Arabidopsis thaliana: one gene and its partner. The protein of the gene in region 2 purifies or fractionates together with the protein of the main gene of each other region. This does not show direct contact. Each region holds a gene or a part of one and is shown on either strand. Other genes may lie near its edges.

Region 1 (5,712 bases), on a different chromosome or scaffold from region 2:
GTGTGTGTGTATAGTTGATCTTATGAAGCCGGGTGCTACGGTGATACTGCGCAATTCAAGGATAGACATGTTCAAGGGTACAATGAGGCTAGGAGTTGATAAATGGGGACGCATCGAAGCCACTGGAGCCGCGTCTTTCACTGTCAAGGAGGATAACAATCTGTCTCTCGTTGAGTATGAACTGATCAATGTTGGTGGTGATCAGTGATCTTTTAGTATGTTTATGGAGGTTAACCCCTGAGAGTGTTGGGTTCTGATTTTTCTACCGTGAAGGTCTTTGATTTAGATGATGAAGATTGTATGACTGGTCCAGAGTTGCTTGTAGGAATATGCTTCTTCTTTTTTACCCTAAAATATGCGGTCATGATCTTGCTCTGGAGAACTATTGAGCCTGCGGTAATGGCGTAATGCAATTGTTCCTTTTAATTTGTGTTGATGTAAGTTAAAGACCATTGAGAGCTTGCTTGTGCACTATCTAATACAGTAAAAATAAGTTTTTCTTTCTTAAACTTTACTAATGTCTTTGTTTTTTCATTAATTACTATTTGATGTACACTATTGTACCCTCTCGGTTACAGAGAGTTTTGCCCAACTTTTTACATCGAAAGCATCTCATCCTTGATTAATGTCATTGTTAAGACAAATTGTAAGTGCATAAAATTCATCGACGGATCATAGAACCATTGTCTAGTTAAGTCGGTCTAATTCCAAACTTTATAAATCTTTGAAATCAGAATGTTACTTTGAAGATCAGCTTTGTAACACCAAAAACGAATAGTTAATGAACACAATACGTAGTGAAGAGAAAAAAGAAAACGAAATGGGTAATAACTTAATGGCATAAAGAAAGGCTTACAACACAGCAAAAATGTTCATGTTCCTAATCTTACCCTCACTATACCAATACAATCCTCTCCACGTATCATCATCCTTGAAAGGAACAAACGGAGAAAGAGTAGAGTCACTCCACTTCTTTGATGATCTTTCTTTTGCGCAGAGGTGCTGTGACCACTGTTCCTGGAGCACTGTGAGCTTTCCTTCGTGCTTCTTTTCTTCTCTTCGAATCGTTCACAGTTCGAATGATACCCATCGCTTTGTATATTGGTTTTGGCAAGTGCCTGTGTCTGTAATTCACAATAACCAAAACGTTACCATGTTACTATAGTTATCTTTTGACAATCTCCAGAGTTAAAGCATGGGATAAAACCACAGTTTTCATTGGTCATTTACCTCACAATGCGCTTAACCTCAGAAAGATGCTTGTACCGGTTCTTCACAGCCTCGTTGTACTCATGCTTCTTTTGTTCCCTTGGAAGAATCTGCAGCACAACACACCAATTAACATTGACAATTCACCGTTCCAAGTTAAAACTTCTTAAGAAAGCATGTACGAGTAATATCTCATAATCATATGCACTATTGGATCAACTGCTAAGCCTGTGGTAACTCTTTTTTGGTCTTTATTTTGTATAAATTCACAGAATCTTACAACTCCCAATTGCTCTGATGCCTTTGCCTTCCATAGCCTGAGATTGGTGTCATCACTGCCCGATATTACATATGTAGCATCACAGCTATATTTGACACAGAATACTCTACAAGAAAAAAGAAATGAAATTTAGAAATTGCTTAGACTAAATCAAATTACCAAGGTGGTACACTAGAACATCTGAACTTGAAGTATATATAGACTGTTCAGTAGATTGTACCTCTGCATCCTCTTTGTATGGTAGATTTCCCTGCTGTGTCCTCCATTGTATGGGAAGATTCTCACAGATCGATCATAAGAACCCGTAACAAACTCACGACCAGTCGGTGAAAAGTCAATATCCATCCTGAAAAATGATGAAATTAGATAATCATAATGCATTTGGATGATATCTTGTTAAATATTATAGCTGATACTTGAGATAAATCATTCTTCATTCTTACACTGCAGAAACATGATCTTTATGCACGCACTTGGCTTCGTCCAACTTTCTACCATCAAAGCTATAGCAACTTCCATCTTCATTAGCCTATTCAGTTTCCCCATGGGATAAAATTAGCACATAAGCAAAAGACAAACGCTGATTTAGCATAGCCCATCACAGAAAAATTCACTTTATGATTATCACTTACAGCTGTCAGGTTCATAGGCTCCATGGGGTTCCATGCAATTGAATTTGTTTTTGTCTGCCAAAAGAAAAGCAATTAGCAGACCACGGTTGCAATTGTTTAGTTTGAAGGGTATTAATGATTAAATATGACGAGAATATGTAAAAAAGTTTCAACTATACCATCATGATAATTTTCCTTGCCGCAGAAGACAAGCGGAGATCATATATGGTTATGCTCCGGTCACTGGAAGAAGAGATATCCCCTTACAGTGTTAGAGAAAGCTCTGGAAGGTGTAGCACAGACAATTACATGACATATACAAGTATAAAGTAGAAAGAATATACCTAGCTGATGTAGCCAATAAATTAGGCTCTCCAGGATTAAACCGAACAGATATTACAGAGTCAGTTCCCCACTGGAAACTCTGAACTGGCTGAGACCTAATTACAAAAAGTAAAACCATAAGCCCTGCTTACGTAAAATTAAAACAAACACCAAAGATTTCTTTTAGCAGGAGCCTGAGTACCTATTATGATTCCATATATCAAGTTGAGCTCCGGCCGTAGCAAAAAGGTCACCTTCAAACTGATGATCAACAGCCCTAGAAATGACAAAAAGCTTAGTAACTCAAGTTTTTTGTACCAACAGAATCATGAGAAATCGCATAAAGAGTGTGTACGAAGTCTACCAGAAAGCATTCTTCCAGACATAGGTTGCAGATGGCTGAAAAAATAGTTTGTTAAAAGCTTGTAGTTATATACCAGCAAGAGAAAGCTCCAGATAATACAATATTGAAAGAACTACCTCAATGAAATTCTCAGATGAAATGCTAGAATCTTCAAGTGAAGGACGAGGAACATTCCACAAACGAACACTGCACAAATCCATTAACCTTAGTTTAACAGCCAAAAATCTGATCACCGACTGGAACAATAAATTGTTATTATATCTTACGTGCAATCAGTTCCGCATGAAACCAATACATTTCCATCGGTTGATGCAGTAAGACCACGCACAGCACCTTGATGACCAGGGAATTGGCAAACTGTACGCCTGCATGTTTCAAGTTCCAGAATTCATTTACCAAAAGCACAGCACAAAGCAAAGCCTTTAATACTAAATGAAGTTCAAATTAATTCAGAGGGGATTTCGTTTTCAAGATTTTAACCTTGAAGAGATATCCCAAAGGCGAATATCTGCAGAGAAGAAAACGATACATAGTATCAGTAACATCAATGGATACAAACAACCAGCTTACATAAATATGCCATTAGATAATTACCTCCATCCATAGAAGCAGAGAAGATTCCTTTGAGGTAATTTGGGTTCTTCGCCATACATGAGACTCCATCACGATGACCATCCATTGCTCCAACAAACGGCCTTGCAAATATCTACAGAAAAACAAAAACAGAGCCAAATTTGGGGACTGCTCCATAACTAAACAACACAGACAATCAAAATTGAAACTCAAGAGCACACCTTTTCTAATTTGGCAGCTGTAAGAGCTCTCTGGTATTCCACGGCCTTCTCCATAGGTCGAAGACTTGGGTCGAAGTTGTGAAAGACCCTCTGGAAACGAATTGATAATGTTATTGATAGTCTAAAGCTAAATTTTGTGATATGGGAAACGAATTGGATATGCAAAAATTACCTGAAGATCCTGACTTCTTTCTCGAGTGTATTCATCAACCGATCTTGATAACGTCTTAATCTTCATTGCTTAATACTACAAAAAGGTCACGACGAAGACTAACGGGGAAGAGAGACACAGAGAGATACAGAGTCAAAAGTGAGCTAAGTTCTCCAGACAGAAAAACCCTAGATGAGAGGTTTTGGGAGAGGTGACGAATCTGAGATGGGCCTAACTTAAAAATATTTAGTCCTTAATGGGCTTTTTATAATTTATTATAATTGGCCCAAAAGTTACTATTGCAAAACTTGCTCGAGTTTAAGTTTTTCTGTTACAAAATGCGGGACATTTACAAGGTTAGTGTTTAATAATTTATCAAGGAGTTGAGTTCTTTAAAATCATGAATTCGAGTACGGCCGATAACAAATAATTGATTCAAACTATTTAAATCTGTTTTGATCCAATCCGAAGATGTTATTGTAAACAAAACTCTGAAGAATTCTCTGGTTACCTAAAATGCATGACTTTGAATACAATATCATTACCGTTGGACTTTTACTAGTAAAGTTGGTTAATACAAGACTATTCTTCAAATTTGGACAAGTCAAGATTCTCGTGTTTTGAATTTTAAGGTTTCTTATAATTAAACAGTCCTTTAAAATATAGTTGAATTCAAAGAACACTCATATGCTTGTATACATTTTATACTATTTAGCAACAAACTCACACAAGCTTTTCAAGTATTCAAATAGGAAAAAACCACCTACCAAACACTTTACTTTGTTCTCTAACTACTTATATACCTACTAACGCAGTTGATACGTAATTTTATCTTACATTTCAACCTTTTTCATTAACTCATAATGGATTATTGTCCACTCAAACTACACTGACAAGAGAATTATTTAAGTGAAACTGTGAATTGGTCCTCCTACGGTACTTTTATTTAGTCAATGGTAACTTACGCGTTAAGTTTCAAATTTCATATAAGACTTTTCAGAACGAAATTATGCCTATGATATATTGCGAAATTTCTTGAAATATTTTATTGATATGTGATTCTATTAAAATAAATAGCTTAAATAAGAATTGTATCTTTGAAAGATACAATTGCTATCAAATGATCTAGTATAAATTAATCATTGGTACCGCGTAAACATCTTGATAAAATTGCATCAATTAGTTTTTCGAATAAAACACTTGTTTTTAAAAAATTTATGTGTAAATATAATTTCGTTAACAAAATTCTCATTGATTATTTTTTACCTCTAAAAAACTAAAAACCACCAAAATGGGTATAAATGTAATTTGGCACATCGTAAAGTGTCATAAGAGCGACCCGTTCAAGTCATAATACTTGGTCAACACGCAAAATCGTGAGCTAGCGCCGGGAAAACCCGACCTAAGTGATGAACTCTCTCAAGTCATGACCGCTTCCTCGTCAAATAACTATAAATATTCCCTCTCATTTATTTGATTTCCCACATAACCATATCTCTTAATTTTCTTTGATATCAAACAAAAAAAAGGCTTCTGTTTTATTTTATTACTTGTCGGTACAACATAAAGAAGAGAAAGTAAAATACGATGAGAAGAGTTAGTTGGTCTACTGTTTTGATTGTGGTTGTGATGGTGTCGTTGTTTTTCGTAGAACACGTGGTGGTTCCGGCTGCGGCGGGGAGGGTTCTTACTGAAAAATCGGGAGATGGAAGTGCGACTATGACGGTGGAGAAGATGAAATCGACGGTGGATTCTTGGTTTCAGCGTTTGGCGTCGGGTCCAAGTCCAAGAGGTCGCGGCCATTAAATTTTCCTTTTTTACTTTTTTTTTCCTGGCCGGAGGAGATTAATTAATCTCGATATACCCCATATGTATACCAGAACAAACGGTGAAAACTGTATTCCATTCATTTATTTCATTATTTGTTTTTTTTTTCTTTAGGCAAAGTTCATATAGTTAGTGACAGAAACTAAAACCCT
Region 2 (4,466 bases):
AAAAAGGCTGCAACTTTGTCTAACAAGCTTATAACCCCAATTTGTTCCAAGAGAAGTTTTTTGACGATGACTGACCTTTCCAAGTGGCGGAGATTCAGATTCTGGTAGTTCATGAGAGAAGGTAAGATTGGAGGGGGGATATGCGAATATTCCGGGATTGATACAGGAGTGTCTCGCCGGAATTTGACCCTGATTCCAAGTAGAGCACGAAAGCGATGGTCGAGAAGAGGGTTTGAGCTTCGTCGATAGAGAGATATGAGCTATGGGTTTCGAAGAGAGCTTCTGAGAAGGTGAAGCTGTTCTGAACCCAAAAGAAGCACTCTGATTTGCTTGAACCGCCATTTCAGCTGCGTTTGAAGCTTCTAAGCGAGCAATTTTATTTTGAGAGACCGGGGAAAGCAAAAACACAGGTTTTGCGATTTTCTGGTCGGGTCGGGTCGGATCGAATCAAACGGGTTTTGTAATTTGAAGTGTCAAATAATAATTAGATTTAATATTTTATGTTCATCCATTTCTGTGGCTCCAACTTATACAATTTGACGATAATATGAGTTAGATTCAATATTTTCATGACATTTGTTTTCAAGTTTCTTCTTGCAAATAGATCGAAAGTAAGATTAAAGACAAGGGAATAGTAGCACATTTGCATATTCAAAAATCCAAACAAACCCTGCAATAGTAGTAGCAGTGAACCTTTTTTGGCTTTTACAAAACATCAGTCTTTTTTAACTTCCTCAAAGCTAAGCAAGCATGTCATAATCATCCAATGTGTCATTGTACTCAAGAACCTTTCGTTTAATCTTGGATGAATCAACCCAAGTGATGAAATCTTCCATGTTCCGAGTTACTAAGAAAGCTGGATCAGTAATTGTTTCTGGTCCTACACGAACGTGTCCTTGCTCTATGTATGTCACAGCTTCTTTGTGGTGCTCTGCAAACTTCAGGTGAACCAGCACAGTAGATAGCCTACGCCTGCAAATAAAAAAAAAGAACCGATATGAGGCAAACGAAATGAGAACATTTGGCTATCAAGGGTTTAAGTAACTGCCTATATAGGCTCTTGCATATACTCTTACCTACAGAAGGATGAAACTGATAACCGCTCAGTTAGAGTCAAGCTTTTCCTAGTCGGTATAACACCCATGTTATATCTGCCGTTTCAAGCGTACATGTAAGAAACACAAGTCAGTCAGCCATTAAGAGAACAAGTTTTCTCATTGCAGAGTGGAACTACGCAATCAACAAGTTTCAGTAGGATGGCTCTTTTTCCCTATACAATAAGCCTATATTATATAGTAACTTAGCTCTATGTAGAAGCTATTCAAGAAACAGATTCTGAAAGAAACCCATTAGATCACACATTTTACCAGGATGAATTCAACCTCTAATGGATTTCAAACCAACGGTCCTAAAATCTATATAGAAGCATAAGGACCCCCAATTTTAATTATCTCTAAAAGTGGTTAACAAGAAAAACAACAGGAGGTCTCTAAGATAAGATCGGTGTAAAAAACTGCAGAAAATGATCAAGTCTCATGTTCTACGACCTAAATCTAGAGAAAACAAAGAACCATTGCTTGTAATAAGCTCTATACTTGAACAAACTGGTATATATATTTAAAAAACTCACAGCTTCTCCAAAAGCATATCAGTCATCTGAATACGAAAAGGATCTGCTGGATCCATTTGTTTCATTATATTCGTCAGTTTCTGCACCATCCTACACAATCCTGAATACCTGCCCAAAAGAAAAAACATTCTCAAGAATCAGAAAAAGACCATTGTTCATCACAAAACACTCGAACCAGAAGAAGAAGAATAAGTAGAACAGAGCTTTAAGAGCAAATAAAGGTACCAACTTTTTGTAATCATCACGAGAGCCCATGTGGTATCGATACGTAATCTCGTTTTCCCGATGGTTACCTTCTCTTTTCCATTCTAAGAAATTTACTTTCTTTATAAGCTTCTTCTCGTGATACTTGAGCTTTCTCATCTCGGACGGTACTGATGATATGCAAATTATACGAAATTAGGGTTTATTTGTCCAATAATTCAGATTTGAAATCCTGAATAATCATAAACCCTTGAACATTCTAATGGGAACAACATAGGATTTATCAATCTCTGTACAATTAGTCTATGAGTAAAATTGAAGTAGTTTACCTGAGAGAGATTAATCGGCGCGGGATAGAGTAAGGATGAAGAAATAATCGGCGATGAGGTTCTTGGGTTTGAGCTGAAAGAAAATGCTGGAGAGGCTTAAACCCTAATTGGCAGAGGAGTAGTAATTCAGAAACCCTAATCGAAGGAGAGGAAGTCAGATAAATCCGACGGTCCCTATCCTCTGTTTGATTGTAACTTGTAAGGCCTTAGCATAACTAAATCTTGTTGAGTTGAGCCTTTTAAACTTCTCATTATGGGCCTGAGAAGCCCATGTAGATTTTACCTTAATTATGGGACTAGACTAGGAAACGGATTTACTAAGGGTGCTTTGAATGCAAAATCAATTCGCTACGTTAAAAAAGATTATTTGGAAGTTCTAAGCATAAACAAGCATCAAATCCATTGGAAGCAAAATATATAGTTTTACTACATACTATGCAATGGAAGTAATTGTATGTGAGGTCGCATGGAAGTGATTGTAAAGCATTGGATGATCTTCTCTATTATCGATCGGAAAATGCAGCTAATAAGGGACCCTTGATTGATATAATTGACAAACGGGTGATCTATAGGTTAAAAGAATTAAGTTTTATAGAAAGTAATAAAGGGTCCCAATTATATTACACTTGTTACACAAAATGCATAATCTACTAGAACTCTCGATAACGACCAAAATTTCAAATCCAATGCACACGTATATACATACACGCATGCGCACGAATGGGCTTAAAAGTTTAGAGTGTTAAGATGATTGAGCCACCGACACCGAGTTTCGTGGGGATATATAATAATTGTTGATTTCCCTTTTTTCACTATATATTTTGCGTTTAAGCTATCTTCAAAGTTATTGGTTTCTTTACCAATACGTGTTTGTTTGTTCTATTTCAAGCAAAAACATAATCGCAGAAACGTCTCCTTTATTTGTTTTGTTCTTTTCTTAATTCTGAATACTTGTGTGTAAGTTTTGAAATATAAATATATCGTTAATGCTTTGTTCTGTTACTTTACCTTTCTATTAATATCAAGTAACTTTTAGGACGAAGATGTTCATTTAATGTTACTTAAAATACGTAAGCATTAAAATTTGTGAATTGCAATTTTGATTAAATATATAGACTGAAATAGAAATGACCCATTTGATTAAAACTACAGATATTTACACGCTTTTCTCTCTGTTTTCTTCTTAAACTCTTCGTTGAAATGACAATTACAGTTATAGAAAAATCTTAAAACTCTTAGATTTTTTCCATTGGAGAAATGTATTCGTATTTAGAAAAATAAATCATTAAGTTCCGACAGCAGTGTAATGTCCGATGTCGGTGGAATGTATATGGTCATAGAAAATAACGTACATTAATTCGCTCAATAAGTAACTCATCTCTAATCAAATTCTTCTATCGTCAAGTGAAAAGAAATAAATACTGAATTACATTGGAGATGCTTTCAAGTCATTACGTGACAATTGGCCTTTACTTAAATTTCCAATATTTATCAATCGATGTTACACGCACGATTTGATATAAATAACAATCATTTTCGAATAGCAAACATGAAGGAGATTGATCTAGATTTTTGGACCGAACATCGTCTATATATTGATATATATTGGCTGATATAATGCTGTGTTTTAAAACAATAACCTGTTCATAACCTCACATCTACACGTGTATCTTTTTAAATTGTCTTCACGAATGACAAAAGAAAACAAATCATTCAATTTGATCTTTCATTGTTTCTAAACTTGGCCGGCGAGCGAGATCATTGCTTAAAGCTTTATTAAACTGCCGCTACAGCTAGACATCGTGGTTAGTCACTTTCACATGTTTAATGAATGAGTTTTTTTAAACTAAAAAAATAAAAATAAATTAAATCTGTTAAATCAGAAAATTTAGTTGATAGGTTTGAAATTTCAATTTTTTTTTTACTTCCTCAAATTTTATGATGTAATAGGCGACATATTTATATTTGTTTTATATATAATGGATAGGAAAAAAAAATTATCAGTTGATTTACCAACGATTTGAAAATAGTATAATGAATGTATATATATATACTTGATAAAAACATCTACGAGACTACGAGTGTTTGTTGGCTTGTGTACTTTCTTATAAAGAACCATATCTAGATTGATTTTCTTGATTTTAAAATATTTAGAGGTACATTAAAAAAACTTGTATATTTCTAGAGAGACTACTGAAAATTTATTAAAATATTATAAATTGAATATCACCAAAATCTAATTTATATTTTAAAACTCATAAATAAATAGAATGTGATTTTAGCCAATTTTGTAAAATAAAATA

Evidence for each region.
Region 1: the proteins of AT5G15750 (region 2) and AT4G28450 fractionate together in Arabidopsis thaliana (co-fractionation; one large-scale study listed by BioGRID). This does not show direct contact.

What each region holds. Positions count from the first base shown.
Region 1 is NC_003075.7:14,060,763-14,066,474, forward strand, and holds AT4G28450 (WD repeat and SOF domain-containing protein 1), read right to left. Parts: upstream 3,947-5,712; 5' UTR 3,821-3,946; coding exon 3,755-3,820; intron 3,673-3,754; coding exon 3,583-3,672; intron 3,495-3,582; coding exon 3,383-3,494; intron 3,297-3,382; coding exon 3,269-3,296; intron 3,154-3,268; coding exon 3,055-3,153; intron 2,975-3,054; coding exon 2,905-2,974; intron 2,824-2,904; coding exon 2,789-2,823; intron 2,702-2,788; coding exon 2,627-2,701; intron 2,541-2,626; coding exon 2,445-2,540; intron 2,344-2,444; coding exon 2,280-2,343; intron 2,176-2,279; coding exon 2,122-2,175; intron 2,019-2,121; coding exon 1,933-2,018; intron 1,836-1,932; coding exon 1,710-1,835; intron 1,596-1,709; coding exon 1,490-1,595; intron 1,320-1,489; coding exon 1,231-1,319; intron 1,125-1,230; coding exon 962-1,124; 3' UTR 641-961; downstream 1-640. Other genes in the region: AT4G28440 (Nucleic acid-binding, OB-fold-like protein), read left to right, coding at 15-208; AT4G28460 (uncharacterized protein), read left to right, coding at 5,321-5,539.
Region 2 is NC_003076.8:5,138,976-5,143,441, reverse strand, and holds AT5G15750 (Alpha-L RNA-binding motif/Ribosomal protein S4 family protein), read right to left. Parts: upstream 2,408-4,466; 5' UTR 2,164-2,407; intron 2,005-2,163; 5' UTR 1,994-2,004; coding exon 1,860-1,993; intron 1,739-1,859; coding exon 1,631-1,738; intron 1,152-1,630; coding exon 1,077-1,151; intron 973-1,076; coding exon 741-972; 3' UTR 552-740; downstream 1-551. Other genes in the region: PSRP3/2 (Ribosomal protein PSRP-3/Ycf65), read right to left, coding at 76-342.